Linked DNA regions of Stegostoma tigrinum. The protein of the gene in region 1 interacts with the protein of each later gene in a pairwise test. Links are inferred from orthologs where the notes say so. Each region holds a gene or a part of one and is shown in the gene's direction. Other genes may lie near its edges.

Evidence for each region.
Region 2: the proteins of id1 (region 1) and myf5 interact in binary tests that used the Homo sapiens proteins (3 or more experiments, as listed by UniProt). The link is inferred for Stegostoma tigrinum from reciprocal best matches to the Homo sapiens genes ID1 and MYF5.

What each region holds. Positions count from the first base shown.
Region 1 is NC_081372.1:11,871,434-11,878,657, reverse strand, and holds id1 (DNA-binding protein inhibitor ID-1), read left to right. Parts: upstream 1-4,957; 5' UTR 4,958-5,033; coding exon 5,034-5,399; intron 5,400-5,778; coding exon 5,779-5,820; 3' UTR 5,821-5,841; intron 5,842-6,100; 3' UTR 6,101-6,724; downstream 6,725-7,224. UniProt on the Homo sapiens protein: Transcriptional regulator (lacking a basic DNA binding domain) which negatively regulates the basic helix-loop-helix (bHLH) transcription factors by forming heterodimers and inhibiting their DNA binding and transcriptional activity.
Region 2 is NC_081371.1:40,044,003-40,051,567, forward strand, and holds the start of myf5 (myogenic factor 5), read left to right. Parts: upstream 1-4,552; 5' UTR 4,553-4,689; coding exon 4,690-5,196; intron 5,197-5,271; coding exon of another isoform or gene 5,272-5,277; exon of another isoform or gene 5,278-5,949; intron 5,950-6,933; coding exon 6,934-7,009; intron 7,010-7,565.

The sequences.
Region 1 (7,224 bases):
AGTGGTTTTGGTTGAAGGATAAGCATCAGCCTGGACATCAGTAAGTAACAAATATTGGCTGATTTACTCTCAAGCTTTGGCTAATGATATCCATGACTGAGAGCTGTTACTCTTTTGTATCTGATATGATGTCAAAATGATGAATACGTTTCACTGTGGGTGATGAATTTTACCGCTGGGTTAGAAGTCAAATTAATTACCACAATGACAGCATTTCTATTAATTTGGCCCAAGTACTCTCCCCAATCTCCCACTGAACTGGCCTGCCTTACAACTGGTGATATTTATCGACAACAAGAACAGAAGTTGTTGGGAAAGCTCAGCAAATCTGCAGCATCTGTGGAGAGAAATCAGAATTAATATTTTGGGTCCCACTGGTGCTTCCTCAAAATGGAACTGGAGCCGAAGCATTAACTCTGATTTCTTTCCACAGATGTTTCCAGACCTGTTGCGCTTCTCCAACAATTTCTGTTCTTGTTTCTGATTTCCAGCATCCGCACTTCTTTTCAGCTTTAATTTGATATTTACAGTGATTTAATTTAACATCATTGAAATAGAATCATGAGAATTATACCATCACAACAACCTTGCTGTGAAAGATAGCCATTGCCCGGCCAAGAGTGATGGGATTCAGCGATGGGAGGGCGACAGGGTTAGGGGATGAGATTGGAGAGAGCTAATCATGAGTGTGTTGGCTTATATCTACCTTCCACCACCAGTCAGTTGACTTTCAGCCATTGATGCCAGTTCAGTGCCCAAATTGCAAACTCAGCAGAGCACAGTAGCATCAACCAAGACGCCCTTAGCAACTAGTTCTGCTGGAGCTCTGCCAGAGACCTTGAGGCTTGTCTGCAATATGTCCTTCTAAAACTGGAAAGGTGCACAATGTATTTTAGGAGAAAGGAGAATCGTGTAGTTTTTTTTACAAAAGAAAGTTTTTATATCCCTCTCTTTGTAAGTAACAGTACACTATTCATTTCAAGAATAACTCCAACTTCAAGCAAGTAGCCTTTGCAATTAGTTATGTGCTGTATGCAGAACTTTCTCCTTGCCTCTGTGAGACTACAGTGTTTCATTTTTTAAAAAATATATTTTGTCTGATATGCTGTAAACAAGATTAGTTGGGGGTTGGGGATATAGGGAGACCCATCTGGCTGGGTCATTGTTGAAGGGCAGTAGGAAACGTTGATAGTTTTTGCAGCTGAACAAAGAGCGCTGAGGAGTGCAAAGAGGAGACTCAGACAGAGTGTCGCCAGGCTGAATCTCTCCCACAAACTCACTTCTTTCCCCTATTGTTCTAACTGCCCTGCAGTCTCGGGCACAGCCTGTGAGCCATGACCTGAAACAGGAACAGCAAAATGCAATCGGACGTGAAAGTTAAGATTTCAGTTTTCAAAGCTGGAAGGGAGAAAAAACTGGAAGAAAACTTCAACGTTGCACGAATTAACACATTTTATCATTAACCAAGTCAAATTCTGTTAACAGTCCTATTTAACACCAGTTTTATCACTTTAGTGGCAATTTTAATATATATTGTATTATTTATACATATGACAATTTTTGTGTTTTTACGAGTAGATCTCAAGGAGAATTGCGAGTAAATGCACAAGAATTTGGAAATACAGTTGCAGAAATTTAGCATAATAAACGGGGACAGTAATTCCATACAAAAATACATTTAATCTAAACTTCTCATCAGCGTGGCAACTTCATTCCACTTGTATATTTTAAACCTAAATATGCTTCTAACCTTCTGTTTTGGATGCAGTGAAATTGTTACACATGGGGACATAGTCTGACTTCAAAAGTACATTTTAGAAGAAAGGTTTAGATCATATGCTATTTTTATCTCTGTGTTACAAGCAAATTTGGACAATGTGATTTCTCCATTTAGTACAAAAAAGGGCCAGTTTAGAAACACTTACCCACAAACCTAATTCATAAAACACAAAGTCAGTAATAATCAGGCATTAGGTACAGTCAGACCCACACTCCCAACCATAAAAAATGAATCAGGGCTATTCTGTAATATATCCATTCCATCTTCCCAGGGCTAGGCAACACAAGCAGATGTGATCTAAAATACCCGGTCCTCCCCCTTAAAATGTGTTGTCAAATTGTGTCCGTATGGGAACATGTACAAAATATATGTTGCAGCAATAGCCAACTATTTAAACACAGAATGCATGTTTTAAAACGTGTAGCCGGACTACAAGAGGAATATATCTATAGGTAATCTCTTTATAATGTGTTAACTGCTGTCCTGCAGTGCTAGAGCTTTTGCAGCTGGTTTATGTATTGCAATGCAGATATTGCTTTCAATGGAGAATCTCTCTCTCTCTCTGTGTGTATATTCCCGAAACCCTTTCCCTCTCTCCACCTCCTCCGAGTCTAGCTCCAAGCGTTTAGCAACTGCAAGCATTCCAACCATGCGAACTCCCTCCCCCCCCAAAAAAAACACAAGCAACAATACGGCTTTGCAGGTGTGCGGGTGTAAACTTTTTAAGAGGGGTTAAGGTGACAAATTAAAGGGCGATTTATCAGGGTGCAGATGATTGCCAGTTAATTGCAGGCTGTTCGGCGCCCTTGTAGTGCGGGTGATTGGCGTGTGGGTCGCCATGGCGACCGCCTGCACGGCGCCAGCTTGACAGGCGTCAAGGCTGTATGAATGGGTGACGTCACGGCCCTGGCGCCTGCCAGTCTGGAGGCTGCTTTTGGGGGGAGGAGGGAGGGACACATACACCAGTCCCTGGGAGTGCAAGAAAAGGAAAAAAAAATGCATCTTCACCTCCCTCGACAAAAAGTGCACAGTATCTGTTGGAAAAATTCCTTCTTCCTCCCCAAATCTGCACAGATTTAAAAACGCTTGCTTCTTACCAGTTTGCATCAAAAAATGACAAGCCTCCGCGGTAATCCCAGGATAAGCCTTTTCACAGTTTCATTTCACAGTTTATTTTCTCTGTTCTAAATGTTTCCATGCATCCCCTCATCTAATTTTATTTTCTCCCTCTCCCAATTCCTGCTTTTAAAATGCATATACTGTAATCTTTGGAAAATTCATTCATTCTCCTTCCCCCCCGTTTCTCTGAATTTGTATTTACCCCTAAATTCCCTTGTTGAAATGCACATAATCACTGGAAGATTCCTCTGTTCTACACCCCCATCTCACTTTCCCTCTTTAAATTTATTATTCCACCCGTTTTTAAATGCACATAATCTGGAAAATTCCTTAATTATGTCCCCTTTACTGTAGATTTGTTATTGGCTCCCAGTTTGCCCCTTAGAAATTTAAAAATCCTTCCATTTTCCCTCCCCCTTATTTAAAAATACTTGTTACAAGTTGCAAACAAGAACAAAATTGCAGCAATAGCAATTAGATCTTTCAGGGAAATCTCTTTCACATTGATCATCTACTTATTCCCCTCTATATTTTTTATTGCCGGCCCCATTTCTTTTCTCTAAACTTGTCACTGCTCTCAGTTTTCCCCTTTTCTGTGGAAAATCCCTTCATTCTCTTTTTAAAGAAACTTGTTACAAAAAGTCAGATAGAAGCACTTCAATAGTGGTTAGTGTCAACTTTTTGACAGTTTAATCATTGTTTTTATCTCTCAAGTTTAACTGCCCTCCTCTGAACTTTGTTATTGCTCCCTCTCTAAATTCCCATTTAGAATTACACCAAATATCTGGAAAATACCTTCATTTTCCTTCTTACAAATTGCAAAACAAAAATGCCTCTCAAGTGATTAATCTTCCACGGATAACATTGTGCTGTTTAATCATTCATTTTTCGTCTAAACTTTAACTACACTCCCCTCTAAAAAAGGTTATTTAGAAAAGCACTGAATCTGTGGAAAAAATGTTTCATTTCCCCTCAAGCTTACTTATTACTGATAGGAAAAATAAAAGTGTTTCAAAAAGTTATTTCACTGTTTAAATAATATTTTTCCTCTTAACTATAACTGTCCCCTTTTAAAACTTTGTTAAGCCTTAGCTCTGACATCTTGTTTTGTAAGGACAAGACAAAAACGTTTAGTTTTTAAAAAGTTTTAACTGAATAAGTTGACAGTTTTAACAACAAGAAGTTTACTGTGTGATTTTTGCTGTTAGATTCGTTTTGAATTTATATCGATCCTGGAAGTTATTCACAGTAATATAACACAATTTACGTAAAACGATAAATCCACTTTCCCCACGTCTATTTGGTTAAATTCCTCGTGGAGTTTACTTTTCTTGAATATAAATCTTAAAGCAAACATTTTAAACATTTTAACAGGAATGAAAGGGTTTTTAACTTAATGTAACGTCTCCTTACAGTCCAAAGATCGTCAAGCACTAGCTTCACCAAATTCCTCTATATTCTGTTTTGCAACATTCCGTTACATTTCAATACTTTCTAAATCTCTGCAGATCAATCTGTATTGCAATGCAAATACTGTTGTGTTGCGCACTTGGGATGGCAACATGATGCAACTTCAATTTTGCATTTTAATTTGTGAAGAGGAAAAATGTTTAGTCCCAGTTGAGATTTCAACTAGTTATTTTTGGCTAGTTATTCCCTGGTAATGCGTGCAGGGAAAAAAAAACGAGAAATCATTCAGAACCTTCAGTGAGCATCTGATGAGTTTACATTCTCATGAATTATGTCCCCACCCACGCCCTGGGGCGACCCCCACCTGCCGACCCCACTAGATACAAGCCAGCTGGATTCCCACATCTTCAGCAAAATATGTACTTTTTTCTCCCATTGAGGTCCCCCCCCCCCAAAATGCCCCCACTCGGCCAACTCTTGACAGATTTCAAAAGCTTGATGCAAACCAGGGTTCTCCATTGGCACACGGGACTGTAAACCACGCCTCATTTTGTTGCTGAAATTAGTTGTCATTTGCTGGGAGACATGGGCCTGGATTTCAGGATTTGAGAGACGCCCATTTTTTTCAGTGGAGCATAAAAGCTGACCGATAGCTCCAGAGTTGTCACAGCGATTTCTCTACTTCATCAGGTTTTTGGTGGTGTTTCTCCTCAACAAACGGATAATGAAAGTGGTCAGTGCCGCCTGCTCGCTCAAGCGCCAGGGCTGCACCCAGGAAGTGGTGCGCTGCCTGTCGGAGCAAAGCATCGCGATCGCTAAGTACAAAGTGTCCCCGCTCCTGGACGAGCAGATGAGCATGTTCCTGTACGACATGAACGGCTGCTACACCAAGCTGAAGGAACTGGTCCCCACGCTCCCCCAGAACAAAAAAGTCAGCAAAGTGGAGATCCTGCAGCATGTCATCGATTATATCTGGGACTTGCAGCTCGAGTTGGACGATCAGTCGGGAATGGGTTGTCAGGCAGCCGCTGGAACCGCAGGCCAGTCTCGGACACCTCTCAGTGCAGATGTTACAGGATTGTCAGCGGAGGTGAATACTGCTAATAAGTCCATGTATTAAATAATGCATTCAAAAAGTTAAGGCACTTAGTTAATGCTTAAAAGTAATCTAAGAAAATAGTTATGGTAATATTATTACTTACTTTTAGAAACCTTTAGTGTTTTAAATATTATCAAATGTGCACTTTAGCCTTATTATTTTGGAATAGATTTTAACTTACTTTGAGCGTACACGCCTACCTGGGATTGGACATCTGTTTTATTAATAGTGTTAATAACGTGAAGTAATTTCTGGGAAACTTATTTCCCTGTACACTCATCAAATAAGTTGAAAAAGAGAATAGTTCTCGCAGTATTGTGATTGGCAAGTTGACTTAACGATCCCCATTTTTTTTTCCTCCAATCTTTAGGCTCCCTGTGTGAGCAGTGATGACAGAATTCTGTGTCGCTGAATGGATTCACTTTACTTGCAGGTATGTACAAGATTTGTAACCACTTCCCAAGCGGAACTCGACTTGTCCCTCGTGTGAGGGTCAGGTTTCTTGGGCTTTGCTTGAACAATCGAAAGGCTGAAATCTGAACCCAAGTTCTCTGACAGTGTTGGCTAAAGTCGTGGCATCTCAGTGCTTACCGAGCTGTTCCAGTGCAATGGCGTGTTTCATATTGTTCTGTCTTTAATCTTGCGAATGGAAAGCATTTTAATTTTTTCTGTTTTCCCCGTCTCTATTTCAGGTATTCCAGATGCTAAAATATAACATGATCCGGTGGTGCTGGATTAACAGTACATCCATCCCGCAGTCCCTGGGAGAGGGAAAAGAGGAGAGCTGGAAGAAATTAAAATAGTCAGTGCTCCTGAGATGCTGCTTGGCCTGCTGTGTTCATCCAGCCTCATTTTATTATCATGTTATTGGGACTAATGTCTTTGATCACGGCACCAAGCGAGAGCAGATCTTGAGTTGATCGCCAGGCTCCAGGACTCTCGGCCCTTTTATTTTAGTCTTCCATCTGAACCCAGGTGGACGCGGGAACTAGGCGGAAGCACAGCAAAGTTTAGTAACTCTTCCTAGCGACGTGCCTAGCAACAGATTTAACTGCGTATAGCCGCGCCATCTCTTCTCAAAATGTGTTGTGTGCGCGCGAAATGCCACTACTCCACAGGCCATTAACGAGACACGCTGGACTCTAGAATTGAGATTGTATATTGCATCCTTAGAGATCTATGGGGGTGATTCAGTTGTAAGTTTTATACTTTGTAAGTGTGTATTGAATTGTTTACAACAATGTTGTACTAAAGATGATTTTTTTATTGATTTTTTTGACGAATTGATTAAAATAAAAACTAGTCAAATAATTAAACCTTGTTTTTTTGTGTGTGTACTTTCTGACATTACAAGGGCTCGAAAGAGGTGCACAGCGCCCAAAGAGTTTTAATGTAGCGACTCTCACTACACCCAGGGTCGGTGTAAAGCAATTAATGTTCCAGATTTCGTCAAATAATGAGGGATGTAGAGCGGCGATGCCGTTAATAGCGGCCCATATTCTGATTTATTAGCCCTTGACCGAAATAAATCATTTTAATGAAATGGGGGGGGGGTAGACTTTAACCATGCTGAGTGATTTCAGAAGCATGTTTTGGATGAGCGTAGCAAAATGACAAGCTCTGCTAGTGACGGCTACTCAAAAAAAACACGGTGAGTAATGGGTATGACGATTGCAGCTTTGCTCCCTGGCTGTAATAACCCGGTGAGGGAGAGACCGGAAACATTCACTTAGAATAGCTGAAAGCGCTTTGAAGCAGATGTGAGAAAGGGGGTGTTACCACAAGCCAATCTGCCAGGCACCGTACATAATTAATT
Region 2 (7,565 bases), on another chromosome or scaffold:
GGTACCCCACTAGCCACTGCCTGTCATTCAGCAGAAGACCCATTTATTTATTCTCTCTGTGTGCTGAACAATTTTCTATCCATCTCAATATACTACCTCCAATCCTATGAGCTTCAATTTTACACATTGATTTCTTACATGGGATTGCACTAATACCTAAAAAAGAATCATTTGTTGGAATATATGGAAATGTGGTAGAGCAAGGATGGCTTCCACAAAGAGTCTGAATAGGTATGATGGTTCAAAAGACACCTTCTCTGCGTAAGATTCTTTTTGGCCAGGATGGATTAATTTCACTGCAGAAGTGTGGGAACTTTTTAAGTATACAATTATGATATTTATAGGAATAATTAAAGGTTTCACAGAATAACAGCATGCCTGATGTAATTGAGTTAATTCTGAAATTTTTACGCATTTTTCTGTGAATGTCCATTTCTTCTTAGTAGTGTGTCAGATCCATTGTTAGCAGATATTTCAATACTCCTGAATTAATTTCTAATGTTCAGGGGAATCCCAGACATTTGCAAGGGCCAGTTAAACATACAGAATGGAGAATGGTTCGCAACTCTCTGAATATTATCACAACAATGATTGTTAGGTGGCTGTTTAATTATTGAGTTTTGAGATCTCTCAGTAAACAGTTAAAGTTGCAACGTGAGAAATATCTTAATTACAGTATTAATCATGCTTTCGAGAAATGTCAAGAAAAACTGTTTTTGAAAACATTTTAAAATGCATTTGACTTCTTGTACCAATAAATAGTAACTTTGGGTTGCAGAAATTTGAGGAAAATAAATAGTCCTTCTTAATTTGACAGGGGAAATTATTCACCTACTCTTGATAATTACCTGCCATTGTGAACTATTAAAACTTGATTTGAAAAATGGCAGTACTTGTTTCTTAGTTATGTTTAAAGGTTTTAAAGGTCATTATCCCATGTCTGCTGTAGCACAATGCCTTATTAATATACCTTTCTAACTCCAGTTTACAACTGCAGTGTCTTCAGCACCATTATTGGATAAGACTTATAACACTTGCTAATGATTGCTGCAAACATTCATTATTAATAGACAAAAACAACTCTTTAGAAACAAACTCTGGCATTTCTAACCTTGCCTCAGCCTAGAGATGTTTTAAAAATCTCTTGAAAAAGTTGTTTGGTATTAATTATGATGATTAGTATCTGATTTTATGTCCAAAGAAAACACACCTGATATATGCAAATGACTAGTACTGGTGTACACAAGATCAGCGATTAGGATTCAATGTATGCTTTGTCCAGAGGGATTTGATTGCAAAATTCTCTGCTGAAAAACGAATGAAAATGATTCGAGTTGGAGATCATATCTGCCGTCCACAGCGTTTACAGAAAGAACCAGGGTTTCGTTTTCGTAATCTCTAATGTTTAACCTGAAAAGGGATTATTTATTTGGATTTTAAACACAGCTCAGTCATGATTATTTCAAAAACCAACCAGATAGGCCATCACAAACCTACAGCGTTCCTGATCCGAAATTTAATTAACTAGTGGCGGTAACAACAAAAATAATTCGAGGTAAATCTCGGAATTAATGTTCAGACTATGTTTGATGGCAGACTGATGCATTTACTGCAAAAGTCTGCAAACCTCCGTTCAACCCTGTGCCATGTTTTGAGAGACCATGCTGAAAAGACACAACGGTCTCATCAGTAATTCCTTGTTGGAGCGTTTAGTGACAAACAGAAGTTAGTTCACTCATTAATTTTCAATTTCTGTTGGCTAGCAGTGATGTTGGATGTCTTTTTTTTAAATCAGTTCGGATTCCAGGGTGGGAGCCCAACGTGAGTTCATAGAATTGCCAGACCCACGCATCCTTCCAACGTATTGAGTTTCCTCACTAGCCAGATAACATTCAGACTTTGCACGGCAGTCCGGATGAACCAGTACTGTGAAGTCAGATCACACTGGCCACTGTACAAGTGTTCGCGTTGTACAATGAGAACCCCACTTTAGATCCATATGTTGATTACATGTTATAAGCGCAGTAGTTTGCTGGCTCCAAACACGGATTTAAACAGAAACGCACGTAACTTACAAAAAATACTTTAATAATCATGTAAATTCGGTAAAAAAAATCGCTGTGCAATTGGAACATGGGTGGCCAACCATGCACTCTGCGCCAAGCGGCTGGTCGGGTTTGCGCTTCAAAAGAAAAATGTAGGAGATTTTCCCCATATGGGAGTCTTGAAGAAATTTGCTTTGATCTCACTTGGAAGGCGGTTAGAACAGCAAAACTCAATGTCTTCTTCAGCTGTCTTTCTACTGAGTCCAAGTCAAGTACTAAACGGATTGAATGCAGGCCTGAATGTTAATTCGGGAGACATGGCTAAAGGCCGCGAACACAAGTATTCAAGCGTTCTGACAGATGTAATGCAAATCTGGCTGCAGCCCCCATGAAAGTTAGATCGCGCAATGTGCAGTAACTTGTGTTTTAATTTCAGACCGATCGAGCATGTCCAAATTGTTCAAATAGGATGCGGACGAAAATCGCGAGGCAAAGACATTCAAATAATCTTTGAGACACTTAGTTTTACAGGGAGCATGTCGAGTTATTTTATAGTGCAAACGGTTAAACACGTCCAACAACGGTTGTGGATTCAGCCTCCTAAGACTAACGAAAAGAGCAATAGTGTTTGCACAACCATTAAACTCTTGTCAGTAATTTGCTTTATGTACGGCGTCTCAATACATAACCTTGTCTAAAGTAACATATCGATTTTGTGGAGAAAACGAATAGAAGTCTTTCTGATTTTGGTGTTCAAATGTTGAATGTGTTGGTAAGGTTTGATCTTGCCGTCTAAACTACCACTGTAAGACTGTGTTTGTAGGGAGGCTTTCGATGAGAATTTCAGCACCTCAATTCTCCACTCAGCAAAGAGTAAGTCAACTTCCTCAACAACCTACTGGTCTGGATGTTGCGCGTTCACCCTCACTGTTCTAAGGCTTTTGCTTGGTCTTGCTTCGTGTTTTGATAACGGCCATCGAAAAACATACCAAGTTGCTGCTGTAAAGTTGCGCTTCCTTAAAACCACCGTTACTTGTCCCAAAGGAGTTCCAAGTGTTGCTAGAGTATTCAGTGTAACCTTATTACACAAAAAGGCTAGCCACTTTAAAGCAGGTTAAGGAGCATTTGAACAAACAGTTCTCAATGTGTTTAAATACTTGCCAGCATGTTGTATTTTGACGCGGTTTTGCTGTTTTTCAAATAATGAACTGGTGCGTGCTAACAGTTCGTCATGTGTTTAAACTAAGGTAAGTGAGAATGAAAATAAACCAACTCAGTAAATTTGACAGAAAATTCAACAAATGAAACAATATTGCACCCAAATGGCGCTCCATTGACTTTTCGGTTTCGCTAACCACGAATTCCCGTCGTTGCGAATTTGACGACCACTTAAGAGCTTCGTTGACCCGTTGACACTTCGGGAGTGTTTGGTCAGGACGGAGTGTGAATTTGCCTGACACTTTGGTGAGGGAAAACCTTGCGCCTTAAAGGAAGCTGGGATAGGTGCAGCTGGCCCGCATCTGTAACGGTGTGAATTTGCTTCAGCCGTGAAATTAGCATACCCTGGGGAGCAGTAAAACTGCTGCATTACAATCTGCAGCCTGAGAAGCAGCGTGCCTGAAGGTGGGGCAGGTTTGGTCTAACTCGCACTCTTCAGGAGTGCTACACTATTGCTGAAAACACATGTGGGCTTAAAGAGAAAGCCGCAACCTCATGGCGTGTTTTGTTGCGGAGGCGCACAGAAAAAGTTAGCTATTCCAACCATTTGAAATCAGTGTTCCCGGATTTCTATGAATAAAACCCCAAAGCGATCAGCAATTACATGAGTTGATGTAATTTCACATGTTGACATTTTAAGCGACTCCTGCCGGGAGGTTATGCTGACAAGCTTTTAGCTGCACGTCGCTCGCCTCCCGGCCAAAGTTGAAACGCTGCTGGTCGGAGAAACAGAATTACAACTAGGAAATCTACCCAACGGTGGTAAAGTGACCCAGCCTCTGTGTCAATCCTGCTGATTGTGAATTCTGAAATCTAGCATCGTATGCAACAAACTAGCTTTTCTTAAACAGAAATCGGTCAATGGGCACGAACGGGAATAAAACCTCAGTGGATGCATTAAGTAAATTATAGAGTCGAGCAGCCGATACACCCGGCAACGGGTTACTGACCATTATAATGTCTCCGTGCCTTCGAACAAACAGATTTTATGGATTCTTTATGTTATTTGCATCTTATTAGGTTTTCAGCATAAATCTGTTAAAACGGAGAGCGATAATTAATTTTCTGATTTGTTTAACCCTGGTCCAGGAGTGATTGTCTTGCCTGATGGCTCAATGTCGGTTTCATTTTGCGCAAAGTCCTTTTTGTCTTGTGGGAGGAGACCTTCCAGGCCCAACAAGGGTTAAAGAGATGCCCCATGGGACGGATCTAGGGTTAATGACCGGGTGGGGGGGTGGGGGGATACTGGATGTCAGTTGTGTTACAGACCCCAGAGTGTGTATATATAGAGCTCTTCTATATACGTTCGGGGCTCTTGTCTCTGACCCTGACCGAGATTTGTCTTTAAAACTCCATCGACTAGTTTGATTATATCGAGAGCTTGGGCGAGTTCTGCGCTTCAGCCAAACCAGTTGGATTCGCCATTATGGATATTATGGTCGACTGCCACTTCTCTCCCTCCGACCTGTTTTATGATCATTCTTGCCTCTCGTCGCCCGAGGAGGCAGAGTTTGCGGATGAGTTTGAGCACGGCGCACTTGCGTTTCGAGATAATAAACTGGAGTCCGGCGAACCTGAAGAAGAGAAACATGTCAGGGCCCCGAGCAGCCACCACCAGGCTGGGGGCCACTGTCTCCTCTGGGCTTGCAAAGCCTGCAAACGTAAAAGCTCCAGCACTGACAGGAGAAAGGCGGCCACCATGAGGGAAAGGAGGAGGCTTAAGAAAGTGAACCAGGCTTTCGAGACGCTGAAGAGGTGCACCAGCTCCAATCCGAACCAGAGGCTGCCTAAAGTGGAGATCTTGAGGAACGCGATCAGTTACATCGAGAGTCTTCAGGAGCTCCTGAGGGAACAAGTGGCGAATTATTACAGCCTCCCAGACAATGTCAACTCAGAGCCTGGAAGTCCCACGTCCAACTGCTCGGACGAAATGGTAAGCAACGATTTAATAATTCCCATCCCCCTTCTCTAATGTACACAGAATTAATGCGCATATCTATTTTTGCAGAATTAAAAGAAAATGCGCTACAGGATTGTTGTCCGTATTTAAGAGGAACGAAGTGAAACCTCTGGTTCAGAATCATTCCGTTTGATTCATCTGTTTGTCTCGGAACCCTCCGTCATTTCTATGATCGACATACTCGCTTGGCCTGGCAGATAACGTGCGGCGTGTCTGTTTTTGACATTAGCTCAGTGTGTTTCTTTGTATTACTAATGCGAGTCGAGAACATCTTGCCCGTAAAGTTTTCTTCTTTGCATCCTGAAGTAAAATCTGGTCTGTACGAGTGCCTAAACTATCGATTACAAGTCTGTTCGTTAAATTGGCCGTGTCATTTCATCAGGACTTGGTGGCTGGGCCTCCCCCCCCCCCCCACTTCTGATAAAGAATGATGAACTTTGCCTGAGCGTGTATAAGGAAACGTTTCACCATTTCATTCTTTTGTCCGACATCTGCCTTCATGTGTTCGTGTAAGATCTGGAATGATACCAGGCTTCACAAATTGGCGTTTAAAATGGGCTGCAATGAATAACAAACGGAACTCGTTGTTACATTAAGGTCAAAGAGGTTGATTTTACCAAATGGCCTTTCAATCTTAAATAATCGTGAACCAACTAATGGAGCAATTATCAAAATACTTTATAAAAGAACAGATACGGTCCCTTTAAAAGCAAATTGTCCCTCAATACGGTCCAAGAGATGGTCCAAGCTCAATGTAAGTAATTAACAATAAGACTGTTTATTCAGGTGCAAGCAGCATTTCAATTCGCATATCAGTAAATTGATTTTCGGTTACTTTTCCCAAGTAACATCAAAATAGCTGCACTGTGCACTGCCCCGACCAGACCGGTCTTTATCCATGTTTTAACTCTGTTGAGTGTTTGGGTGCTCACAAGGCGGCATGAGAGAAACCGCGAAGGATGAGGCCAGCAATGAGGATGGCCAAAAAGTTGCATTCGCAGTTGTCGGACATCTTTCTGTGATTCATTTCGTATATTAATGGGGGGGGGGGGGGGGGGGAGAGGAGCTAAACAACTTCATTAGTACTTGCTGGAAATTAGATGAAATGTTCTCTGTAGCTCAGGGTTTGACTTAGATGGCGCCTGGGTCTCATTATGTGTGACCGACTGCTTCTTCTCGCCACTTCAGTCAAAGTTGCTGCCACACACATTGATCTCTTTGGAAGCGGGGATGATGACTTTCCCACCTCTGCACATTCTGCTCTCCACAGGAGCTGAAAGCAGCAGCAAACTGAAGCCTGTGTTATTTGAAACAACAACTAGTGAAACATTCTTACAGCACTACGTTTTTGACTATCAGAGCCAAAGCTTTAATATGAAGTCAGTACGGGAAAATCTGACCTGGCACAATTAATGTAGCTTCCGTTAACTGCAGAGACATGCAATTCATTTTCCATGGATAACACAATGCACATTGCTATACAGGCATACAGACAGACCTCATGCTTTATGTGAGAAAACCATGGTGTGGCAAAGAAACCAACTATGTCTAATCAACAGATGGGTTTATTTCCGTCCGGGGTAATCATTGTTTTACTCATTCAAGCCTTCTGACGCGCACAGTATAAAGTCATTTGTTACGATGAATTTATATAAAGGTTTCAGTGAAAGGTTTGGAGGATTTTTACTTTGATTTCATTTGTCTTTGCAGATGGGATGCAACAGCCCCGTCTGGTCTAGGAGGAACATCAGTTTTGACCGCATTTATTGTTCGGAATTACAGAACGGTACATTTTAACGATTTTTGTGAAATCATTTTACAGTTCATCACAAGTCTACCTTGAAACTGACGAAATTAGATATTAACTCCTGAGGCGCAGTTTATGATGACAAGTACACGAGGCTCTCCAGTTAAAGAAGCTATTAATTGTAGATTGTTTCTTAACCCACGGTCGAAGTGACAGCTTCTAGTTTGAACCTTTCCCATTGTAAAGCAATAACTGTTTTAAATCTATACTCATTACTTGAGGTCCTTCGCACAGTAGACCCAAACAAAATACAGCCAGTAGTACAGTTTATTTCCACGAAAAGTTTGAGAGAATACTGAACGCGGCAGAGTGAAACAGCGGGTATTCCTGAATGGGTCTGGGAATCTGTTTTATTTTCACGTGATTATTTTTAAAATGAGAGCACTTGGCTCACAGTAGCCTTTTTTTAAATAATGCAATGGTTACTGTCGTAAAGACCAGCGACATTTTAAGTTTAACAAATGTGTATGAGGGAACAAATAAGGGCACATTGCTTTAAGATAACGACTAAGAATGAAGAGAGTTCTACATATGT